3 linked regions of the Saccharomyces cerevisiae S288C genome follow. The protein of the gene in region 3 purifies or fractionates together with the protein of the main gene of each other region. This does not show direct contact. Each region holds a gene or a part of one and is shown on either strand. Other genes may lie near its edges. The genes, in order: TIM11, AIM9 and EHD3.

Region 1 (2,626 bases), 590 kb from region 3:
CTCATGGTTTTTAAAGGGATATCACCGAATTTCCTGGCGACTTATCTATTATGGATCTTGAAAATGTTTCATGTCCCATTTGTCTAAGGAAGTTTGATAACTTACAAGCACTAAATGCACATTTAGATGTTGAGCATGGGTTTAACGATAATGAAGATTCACTCGGTTCCAATGACAGTCGTTTAGTCAATGGTAAACAAAAAAAGGCCAGATCTGTTGATAGCAGTGCGCAAAAGTTGAAAAGAAGCCATTGGGAAAAATTCAAAAAAGGGAAGAGCTGCTGTCACACATGTGGAAGGACTTTGAATAACAATATTGGCGCCATTAATTGTAGGAAATGTGGTAAACTGTATTGCAGAAGGCATCTTCCTAATATGATTAAACTTAATCTTTCCGCACAGTATGACCCCAGAAACGGGAAATGGTACAATTGCTGCCATGATTGTTTCGTCACAAAACCTGGCTATAACGATTATGGCGAAGTAATAGATTTAACACCAGAATTCTTTAAGGTACGAAATATAAAAAGAGAGGACAAAAACTTAAGGCTATTACAATTAGAAAATCGGTTTGTCCGTCTAGTTGATGGTCTGATTACACTCTATAACACATATTCTAGATCCATTATTCATAATTTGAAGATGAATAGTGAAATGTCCAAGTTAGAACGTACAGTTACTCCATGGAGAGATGATAGAAGTGTACTCTTTTGTAACATATGTTCCGAACCATTTGGGCTATTACTAAGGAAGCATCACTGCAGATTATGTGGTATGGTTGTTTGTGATGATGCAAACAGGAACTGCTCAAACGAAATAAGCATAGGTTATTTAATGTCTGCAGCGTCAGATCTGCCATTCGAATACAATATACAGAAGGATGATTTACTTCATATTCCTATATCCATAAGATTGTGCTCGCACTGTATCGATATGCTATTTATTGGCAGGAAATTTAACAAGGACGTTAGAATGCCGCTAAGTGGAATATTTGCTAAATATGATAGCATGCAAAATATATCCAAAGTAATTGATAGTCTCCTGCCCATTTTTGAAGACTCATTGAATAGCCTGAAGGTGGAGACTGCCAAGGATTCTGAAAATACACTTGATCCAAAGAATCTGAATGATCTCGCTCGATTAAGACATAAATTACTCAATTCTTTTAACTTGTATAATACACTAACAAGACAGCTCTTAAGTGTAGAACCTCAAAGTCATCTAGAGAGACAACTTCAAAATTCGATCAAGATAGCTTCCGCTGCATACATAAACGAAAAAATCCTACCGTTGAAGTCGCTTCCGGCAATTTTGAACCCAGAGGGCCATAAAACGAATGAAGATGGGCAAAAAGCTGAACCAGAGGTAAAGAAATTATCGCAACTAATGATCGAAAACTTGACCATAAAAGAAGTGAAAGAGCTGAGAGAAGAATTGATGGTCCTAAAGGAACAAAGCTACCTTATTGAGTCCACAATTCAGGACTATAAGAAGCAGCGTAGATTGGAGGAGATCGTCACACTTAATAAGAACTTAGAAGAATTGCACTCAAGAATACATACCGTTCAATCGAAGCTGGGTGACCATGGGTTTAATTAAGACATATCTTTATTATTCGATCATTCGCGGAATCTCCACGCTAATTGGTCCGCGGAGCCAATCAGATCTATTTAAGGGTATAAATTTTTCTTTAGTTTTTTTGACTTTTCACACAGAAATTTTAGATAAAAGGAAGTATTATATCGGAACATAACGTATATAGGAACTAGCTGAGTGAGTTAAAGGATGTCGACAGTTAATGTTTTGAGATACTCTGCGTTGGGTTTGGGGCTATTTTTTGGTTTTAGAAATGATATGATTTTGAAGTGTAATGCTAAGAAGAAAGAGGAGCAGGCACAGTACGAGGAGAAATTGAAGCTGGTAGAGGAGGCAAAGAAGGAATACGCCAAGCTACACCCTGTAGTAACTCCTAAAGATGTGCCTGCGAACGCCTCATTTAATTTGGAAGATCCTAATATAGATTTTGAAAGAGTTATTCTTAACGCCGTTGAATCCCTGAAGGAAGCTTCAACATAAATAGAAGCTTCAACATAAATAGGATACTAAAAATGCACATTAGCTCGCACTGAATGACGAAGTTATGATGGATTCTCGTTCGCTAGATGTTCCATATTTTTTTCTTCATTCGTTAGTGCACAAACAATAAGGAAAAAAATGAAATGTATATATTCTAGAACATACTAATATCATACGTATCGTATTGTAAACAAAATTCACATTCCAAAAATTTTTCAGATTCTTACTTTATATTATTTGCATCAAGCTTTATTAACAATGACACGTTATTTTATATGTACAGGATACTATAATGTCATACTATTTAGGATCACCTTCTAACTCTGCTAAAAACCCTTCCAGGTGGTAGGCCATATTTTTCTCTGACGGCGGCGACTTTGGCATCCCATTCGCTTCTCCAGATATGTGCCCCAATAGCGGTTAGATTGTATTTCTTCGTAAATTGCCTGATATCAAAATCATCTCTACTTAGTTCCTTTCGGTCAATCTCTAACATGTTAGGACCTTGCTTATCCTCGATTAAGGGTTGTCTGAATACCCAAACAACGAAT
Region 2 (4,225 bases), on a different chromosome or scaffold from region 3:
TTTCTTAATTTTTTTCTCGTGGTAGAAGTCAAGGACAATAAATTGCGAAATTAGGTGGGAACGAGAAGAATAATTAAAGTGCTGAGACCGAAGTTGTTCCCCTTGAATTCCATTTGTGAGTAAATATCGAAAATGGGTCCACAAAAAAAATTAGGTTTTTCTAAAATATTAGGTCCAGCCTAACTGCTTAACCAAATTTTTAATTTGTGATATTTGCACATAGCTTGGCCAAACAAAGGCATTACTCGATTGTGAGTAAAAAACTAAAACAATGTAGATAATCAGGATTAAACAATGGCATTTCTATGGATTTGTTGTTCTCTTTATATATTTGAGGAAAATTCAAAGATAATGGGGAGAAAGGTGGAGATGTATCTCCACCTATCGTAAATTTGAAAGTTCCGCTTTTCCGCCAATTGCACCCAAACATCACGCAACGCTTTTTAAAACGTTATCAATATATCCAATCCAGCATTGTTAAGTTGATTAGTAAATGGAAGAGATTCCATTGTGTACAAAAAAGGGTTTTAACTTGATTATTTTGTTATAACGTTCTATACAGTTGAATGAGGTAAAGAAAACAAAAAAATATTTCATTTTTAGTATAGATTATTTGGTAGCTTCAGGTTGCTTCACGGTGTAGTCTCCGTTCTCTTGCTTAACAATACTGCCGGAATTTAATAGTTGATCAAACATATCTTGAGGAATCCACCCTTGAGTGGCAGCAAATGGTGTAGAGATTAGCTTTTCGTGTAATTTTTGCAAATCCTCAACATGTCTTTCAATATCTTCTTTACTATAGTTTAGAGGAAACTTTTTCTGATTCACTAACTCATTCTGGGCAAAGATGTCCCAAACTTCCTTCAATTGCAATAGTGATTCATCAATAAGTAAATACTCTTCTTCCGTTTTTCTTTCGACAGCTGCAATATATGGGCTTCTCAGTAGCTTAACAGGTGGGGCAACTGCAGTAATTAATTTAGGATTATTGTCATTTAATTTTTTCTCCCATTGATGTTGATTACGGGTGCGCTTGTACATGAACTGATATTGCACCTTTTCCGCCTCAGATAATTTGTCAAAATCGGTTATGTCCTCCTTTAAGTCATAAATCTTGGGCCCATCATAGGCGATGAATTGTGGCGAATTCTGTAAAATGAAAGGTTTTGTGCATGCTCCTTCAAAATCTAATAGATAGGCTTCTTGTGCTTCTTTGTTAACAATAATATTCATGGGGTCTAGATCAGGATGAAACAAACGTGGTGACAATAGTTCCTGCATATTTGGAATGGCCTTTGTTTTGACGTTGAATAAATCCGGGGCAATCTTAGCTAAATTTTCATAGGTAGTTATTTGCTCCTTCAAAGTTCGAGGATACATCAATTCAGCTGAACTTCCTGCCTCTTTCATGGCTATTCTAGTTTTAGCATTTTCAGCTTCCAATAGGCCAGTATTTTTAATTATATCCATTGGAGACTTCTTTGGCCATGGTCCCAAAAAAGGTTTCATTTGTTTATGAAAATCCAAGTGAGATTTATGTCTCCAGAGACATCTTTCCACGGATGGCCCAATTTTCCATCTGTTTTGTAGATCCGGATTAGTTTCCCCATCGTATATGTCTTCCTTAACAAACTCCTTCTCATTTCCGTCTTTTAAGTCATTGTTAAAATATATGGATCCAAATGCATTTAATTTCAATGACACTAACTTCGACTGAAAATCAGAAACTTGTTTAATAACATTGTCATATTTTTTTTGATTGGAGGAACCGTCTTCAATCAATGGATCCCAATCTTTCATCAAGAGTTCTCCTTCGATAAATTCTTGTAAGACAAAAGGCTGCCTTACAGGGTTCAAAGAATTGACACCATAACAAAAAATCTTGGGAACTTTGATGCCCAACTTCAAGTCAGCAAAATCCATGGTTGCTACTTCACTTCTTATTCTGTAGGATAGAGTGTTTTCATTTTCCAGCGGATAAGGAATCCTCAAGATAAATGCCTTGTTCAAATTCGTGTCGACCTTGTATATTCTGTGATGTTTACCTTCGTGAATACTAGATAATGTGGTTACTTGAACTTTTTCATTTGGGTTGATTTTACCTATATTCTTTGGTACAACGTTATTGACCAATGAAACGGTCAAGTTCTTGTTAAACACTGGTGGTAAGATCTTACCGTCGGGGGCCTTAGCCATTTCATTAGATTGAATGTAGATGTCATTGAGAATGCGATTTAAACCTTCAATCGAAAACTTCGTGAATCTTTTTTCCTTTTCTTGCTTATCATTTTTAAGCCATGAGCCCCACGTATATTTGAAAAAGGCATCTCTCTTTGGATCATTGTCATTCGTTAGCTTGGTAAAAACTTCGTTTGGCTTATTGGAGATAAATCTCTTGGTGGCGGCGACGGTGATACATTTAATTGCACCCACTCTTTTCGAAGCTCCTACTACACACCTTCTGGAATGGCCAGCAACAGTGTACCTAATCATGCTTGGTCTTCGTATTGCTGTCTTGCTTGCTAAACAGCTTTTGCTACTTCTTCTTCGCTGATGAGAAAAGGGAGTCTACTAAATACAGTTCGGCTTAAAGTGTCGCTGGTCAGCAATCGGCCCGAAAATACATTGAACATTTGAAATTACCATGTTTCAAAACGAATATTTATTATAATTATTACTAGTAAAAGTTATACATAAGAAGGGAATAATACAAAGAAACGGGAAACAGCTAAATGTAGTATATAGCCGAAAGATGTGGACATATCCCAACAAATCGTCTTATGAGATCCTTTTTTTGTTTTATATTTTTTTTTTTTAGCGGGTATAAACGTATCATTTATATATTTTATTCTTTCCTTTAACTCTCAAAATTTGAGCAATTAGGTTACTGTGGTTCACGTGATTCAAGTGTGCACATTGCTGCTATGCTTTGTAGTATTATCCATAGAGTTTAGGGAGGGGGAATGGTCGGAGAGTGGGTAATTTGCATTGTCTAATGGAGCAGAATCAGCGTTACTTTTCTGGAAATAAAACTGGTCCGATAACGAAGTAGTAGAATCAGAGGTGAGATTGGAGTTGGAAGTGGTGTTGAGTTTGTAAAACTTTTCGGTTTGATCATGCGATACCTTGTATTTGTCATCCTTGTCATTCTTCTTTTTTTTGTTCTTCTTTTTGTTCTTAGGGTCTACCATATTGCTAGTCTTCGGGGTAGGAGACTTTGTTCCATTATTGTGATCATATTGTTTTCGAACCATGGAATTCAATAAATTAAGTGAATATTTCGGAATCCCATCTCTTTTGACATTAATCCCCTGAATACCATCCTTCGTGGCAATCATGGAGGCACCTGATGTGATGGAGCAACCTGAGTTCGTTCTCGTTATCCTATCTTCACCAGAGGCAATATTGGAAGGGCTCATTGATCTCTGATCTAAGTCCAGGTTAGTAGACCTGTTATTAGTGTAAATGGACTGATCATAGAGAGAGATGGCAGATGCAACATCTTTTGAGCTTATTGAATGTGATGAATCAGGCATTATTAACTATTCGCTTCCTTTTCTTATCTCAGCAGTTTGTGTTTTTTATTCTTATTGTTATTATCCCTTTTAACTATATATGCATAAGCTAAGTTAAATATTAAAATATTTATATATAAACGTTACAGGGCGTGTGAACACATTTGAAAAAATGCTGGAAGGTAATGGTAGATATAAGAATTGGAATAACAGGTTGATAGAGAATCGCCAAGCTAGAGAGTTCTGACAAGCGGCAAGGGGGAAGGATGAGACGCAGATACGAAAGCCGCACCATTAAACCGTAAAGAGAGAAAAATAAAGAATGACTTATTTCTCGGAAAGGCCAAATGCAATTATGCAACACGCACACATTCACACTCACACTCACACATAAACTTTGACTGAAACCAAAACTGTTGTGAGTAATAGCCTTTCTTGTTCATAAAATAGTACAAGATACAGTAAATATATATCAACTCACCTGGTATAGGGATCACTTACTGCACTGCAAAAGTGGATCGTTTGCGCAAGAAACTCCACCAATTCTAAAGAATATAATAGAAAAAGCTAATAGGAAAAGTGGTCATTTTCTGTTGATATGTTACATAGGATAAACCCAGTACGGTTTTCTATGCAATCTTGCCAAAGATACTTCTCGAAGTTGGTATCGCCATTGGAACAGCATAAAAGTAATACTTTTACTAATAGAG
Region 3 (3,713 bases):
TCATCATTGGAGTTTCTACTTCAATAAACTTTCTTTGGTCCAAAAATCTTCTGATGTAACGGATAATTTCAGAACGGGTAATAAAACGGTTTCTGGCGTCTTTGTTCATGATCAAATCCAAATAACGCTTTCTGTATCTGGTTTCCTGGTCTTTGAAACCAAAGTGGTCGGCAGGTAACATGTGCAAACATGGTGTCAATAATTGCACTCTGCTAACGAAGACGGAAACTTCACCTTCACCACCTTTCTTTGGTTGAGTTCTTCCGACGTAACCCTCGACACCAACGATATCACCCCTTTTCAAAAGGTCGTGATCCTTTTCGTAAGAGTCTGGGTCGCAGTAGTCCTGCAATTGGGACATCAATTGAACTTCAACACCATCACCGTGAAGAACATAGAATTTCAATTTGGAGCCAGATTCTCTTTTGGCATGAATTCTACCAGCAATTGAAACCTTCTCTTCAGGTAAGGTTTCACCTTTTTTCAAATGCGCATATTTGGCCAAGAACTCAGGATTGGATATAGAAACGTGAAACTTGTGTGGGTATGGATTTGGTTCGTGAGTCTTTCTCAATTCTTGAATTTGGCGAGATCTTGTTTCGAAATATTGCGATGGATCCAGGTCAGCGAACAAATCTGTTTTTTTTTTGGAAGCCGGTTTTGGTTGAGCGGCAGCCTTTTTGGCGGCCTTTTTAGCTTCGACTTGTCTTTGCTTGATACGCTTCTTCAATTCAGACTTGGAGACCATTTCCCCGGTAGCTTCGTCGAGATGTAGGTTAGCAACACCTTCAGCGGCGGCTTTGACATTATCTTGTTGAGACATTATGCTATTGAAGTTTATTACGGATTTCTCGGAGGAAGGACAGAGCAATAAATCAATGTATGTAAGATAATTATACTTTTCTTTCTAAACAAAAAAGTGGCTGTATATATAACTTCGAAGTTCATTAAGAGTCATTTCATCATTCATCGATAATTCAAGCTAAAAAAAAAAGAAAAAAAAAAAGAAAAGCGCCGAAAAAAATTCAAATGGCAAATATTTTCACAACACCCATACACTACACCAAAAATATTCCTACATCACTAATGCCATTAGCATTCCATAAACTACTAACCAACAACTAGAACAGAACTTGATCTATTGTGCTCATGGGTCGGAGAAGCTCGCCTTATCCGCATCGTTTCCTGGGTTAATAGAAAGGTTTTTTGAATTCTTAAACATGTAATATCTCAAAACTAACACTTAAACATTATGCCGAAGAGAACAGTCCCTAACCCATTTGTAGTAAGCAGCCTTACAGGATTCCAAGGATTCAGCCAGCCAAACTGACCCATTGCGTTTTCTACCAATCTTCTCTTGTTTAGTAACACAATCCGGGTCACCCTTCGGAACTTCGGAATTGGAGAGGCAAGTGCAAAGAAAAGTGTTAAACCTCGGAGCCAAATGATTGATGAGGTAGCCGAGAAGATAAGAGCAGCTTGTTTCCTGCGCCTGTGTACGGGAATCCTCATTTATATAATACTTGGTTCTGTTTAGCCACCACAAATAATGCTCAGAAATACGCTAAAATGTGCCCAATTGTCGTCTAAATACGGATTTAAAACTACCACACGTACATTCATGACTACTCAACCCCAGCTAAATGTCACCGACGCACCACCTGTGCTATTTACCGTTCAAGATACAGCTAGAGTTATCACGCTAAATAGGCCCAAAAAGCTCAATGCTTTGAACGCCGAAATGTCAGAATCCATGTTCAAGACTTTGAACGAGTATGCAAAGAGCGATACTACAAACTTAGTCATTTTAAAGTCATCCAACCGACCACGTTCGTTCTGTGCTGGTGGTGATGTAGCTACTGTGGCAATATTCAATTTTAACAAAGAATTTGCCAAGTCCATCAAATTTTTTACTGATGAATATTCTTTGAATTTTCAAATAGCAACTTACTTGAAACCAATTGTTACCTTCATGGACGGTATCACCATGGGTGGCGGCGTTGGTCTATCCATTCACACGCCCTTTAGAATTGCTACAGAAAACACCAAATGGGCCATGCCCGAGATGGACATTGGTTTTTTTCCAGATGTAGGCTCAACTTTTGCTCTCCCTAGAATCGTGACATTGGCTAACTCAAACTCACAAATGGCCCTGTATCTATGTCTTACAGGAGAAGTAGTCACAGGAGCAGACGCTTATATGCTCGGCTTAGCGTCTCATTACGTCAGTAGTGAAAATTTAGATGCTTTGCAGAAAAGATTAGGTGAAATTAGCCCCCCTTTTAATAACGATCCACAATCTGCATACTTCTTCGGGATGGTTAACGAATCCATCGACGAATTCGTATCACCATTACCAAAAGATTATGTTTTCAAGTATTCTAACGAGAAATTAAACGTTATTGAAGCCTGTTTTAACTTGTCTAAAAATGGTACTATTGAAGACATAATGAATAACTTACGTCAATATGAAGGTTCTGCGGAAGGTAAGGCTTTCGCACAAGAAATCAAAACGAAATTGTTAACCAAGTCACCATCCTCTCTTCAAATCGCCTTGAGATTGGTGCAAGAGAATTCCAGAGATCACATAGAATCTGCTATCAAAAGAGACTTATACACAGCAGCTAACATGTGCATGAACCAGGACTCTTTGGTGGAATTCTCTGAAGCCACAAAGCATAAACTTATTGATAAACAAAGGGTCCCGTATCCATGGACAAAGAAGGAACAGTTATTTGTATCTCAGTTGACATCTATCACATCTCCTAAACCATCGCTACCAATGTCATTACTAAGAAATACCTCGAATGTTACTTGGACTCAATATCCCTACCATTCTAAATACCAATTGCCTACAGAACAGGAAATCGCTGCGTATATTGAAAAGAGAACGAATGATGACACTGGCGCCAAAGTTACCGAAAGAGAAGTACTAAATCACTTTGCCAATGTGATTCCTTCTAGAAGAGGGAAACTGGGTATCCAATCGCTATGTAAAATTGTTTGTGAAAGAAAATGTGAAGAAGTTAACGATGGCTTAAGATGGAAATAAAACCTGAAATAGCAGCCCCGTGGCTCGTAAAGAATTTTGCCAACACTTCTATGCATGTAAATAATAAAAGTAAAACATAACGCTATATTTGTATATGGATGTTTATTTAATGATACATAGAAAACTGTCATTTTCTTTCTCTTTTCTTATAAGTATTTTTTTTTATAAAAGGCAAAAAAAAAAAAGTTTGAATGTAATAAATATGGTTCAGAAAGAAATTACAATAAATCAAAAGTTTTGAGTATCATTCAAGATTATTTGCATTTTTCCCTCATTTACAGGCTATTTTTTCAAGGCCTTTCTTCTGTTTCTAACACCTTCTGCCAATAGCTCCAATACCTGTTCGGTGGACTCCCAGCCAATACAAGCATCCGTAACAGAACAACCATACTTCAATCCCTCTCTGCCACCTTCTTTGGGAATATCTTGTCTACCTTCATTTATGTTGGACTCAATCATAACACCACAGAGACTATTCTCACCCTCCGTCAGCTGGTCATAAATACATTTGGCAACCTTTGGTTGGTTCTTGAAATCTTTATTACTGTTGCCGTGGGAACAATCGATCATAATTCTTTTCTGGGAATCATCAGTCAAACCGGCCTTTTCTAACTGTTTCTTAGTATTTTGAACACTTTCTTTGTCAAAGTTAGTACCGTTC

Evidence for each region.
Region 1: the proteins of EHD3 (region 3) and TIM11 fractionate together in Saccharomyces cerevisiae (co-fractionation; one large-scale study listed by BioGRID). This does not show direct contact.
Region 2: the proteins of EHD3 (region 3) and AIM9 fractionate together in Saccharomyces cerevisiae (co-fractionation; one large-scale study listed by BioGRID). This does not show direct contact.

What each region holds. Positions count from the first base shown.
Region 1 is NC_001136.10:1,111,452-1,114,077, reverse strand, and holds TIM11 (F1F0 ATP synthase subunit e), read left to right. Parts: upstream 1-1,784; coding exon 1,785-2,075; downstream 2,076-2,626. Other genes in the region: PEP7 (phosphatidylinositol-3-phosphate binding protein), read left to right, coding at 51-1,598; mitochondrial 54S ribosomal protein mL38 MRPL35, read right to left, coding at 2,386-2,626. UniProt on the Saccharomyces cerevisiae protein: Mitochondrial membrane ATP synthase (F(1)F(0) ATP synthase or Complex V) produces ATP from ADP in the presence of a proton gradient across the membrane which is generated by electron transport complexes of the respiratory chain.
Region 2 is NC_001137.3:318,231-322,455, reverse strand, and holds AIM9 (Aim9p), read right to left. Parts: upstream 2,494-4,225; coding exon 610-2,493; downstream 1-609. Other genes in the region: YER079W (uncharacterized protein), read right to left, coding at 2,904-3,536; YER078W-A (uncharacterized protein), read right to left, coding at 3,646-3,810; ICP55 (aminopeptidase), read left to right, coding at 4,114-4,225.
Region 3 is NC_001136.10:522,550-526,262, reverse strand, and holds EHD3 (mitochondrial 37S ribosomal protein mS47 EHD3), read left to right. Parts: upstream 1-1,549; coding exon 1,550-3,052; downstream 3,053-3,713. Other genes in the region: lysine--tRNA ligase KRS1, read right to left, coding at 1-823; 3-deoxy-7-phosphoheptulonate synthase ARO3, read right to left, coding at 3,335-3,713.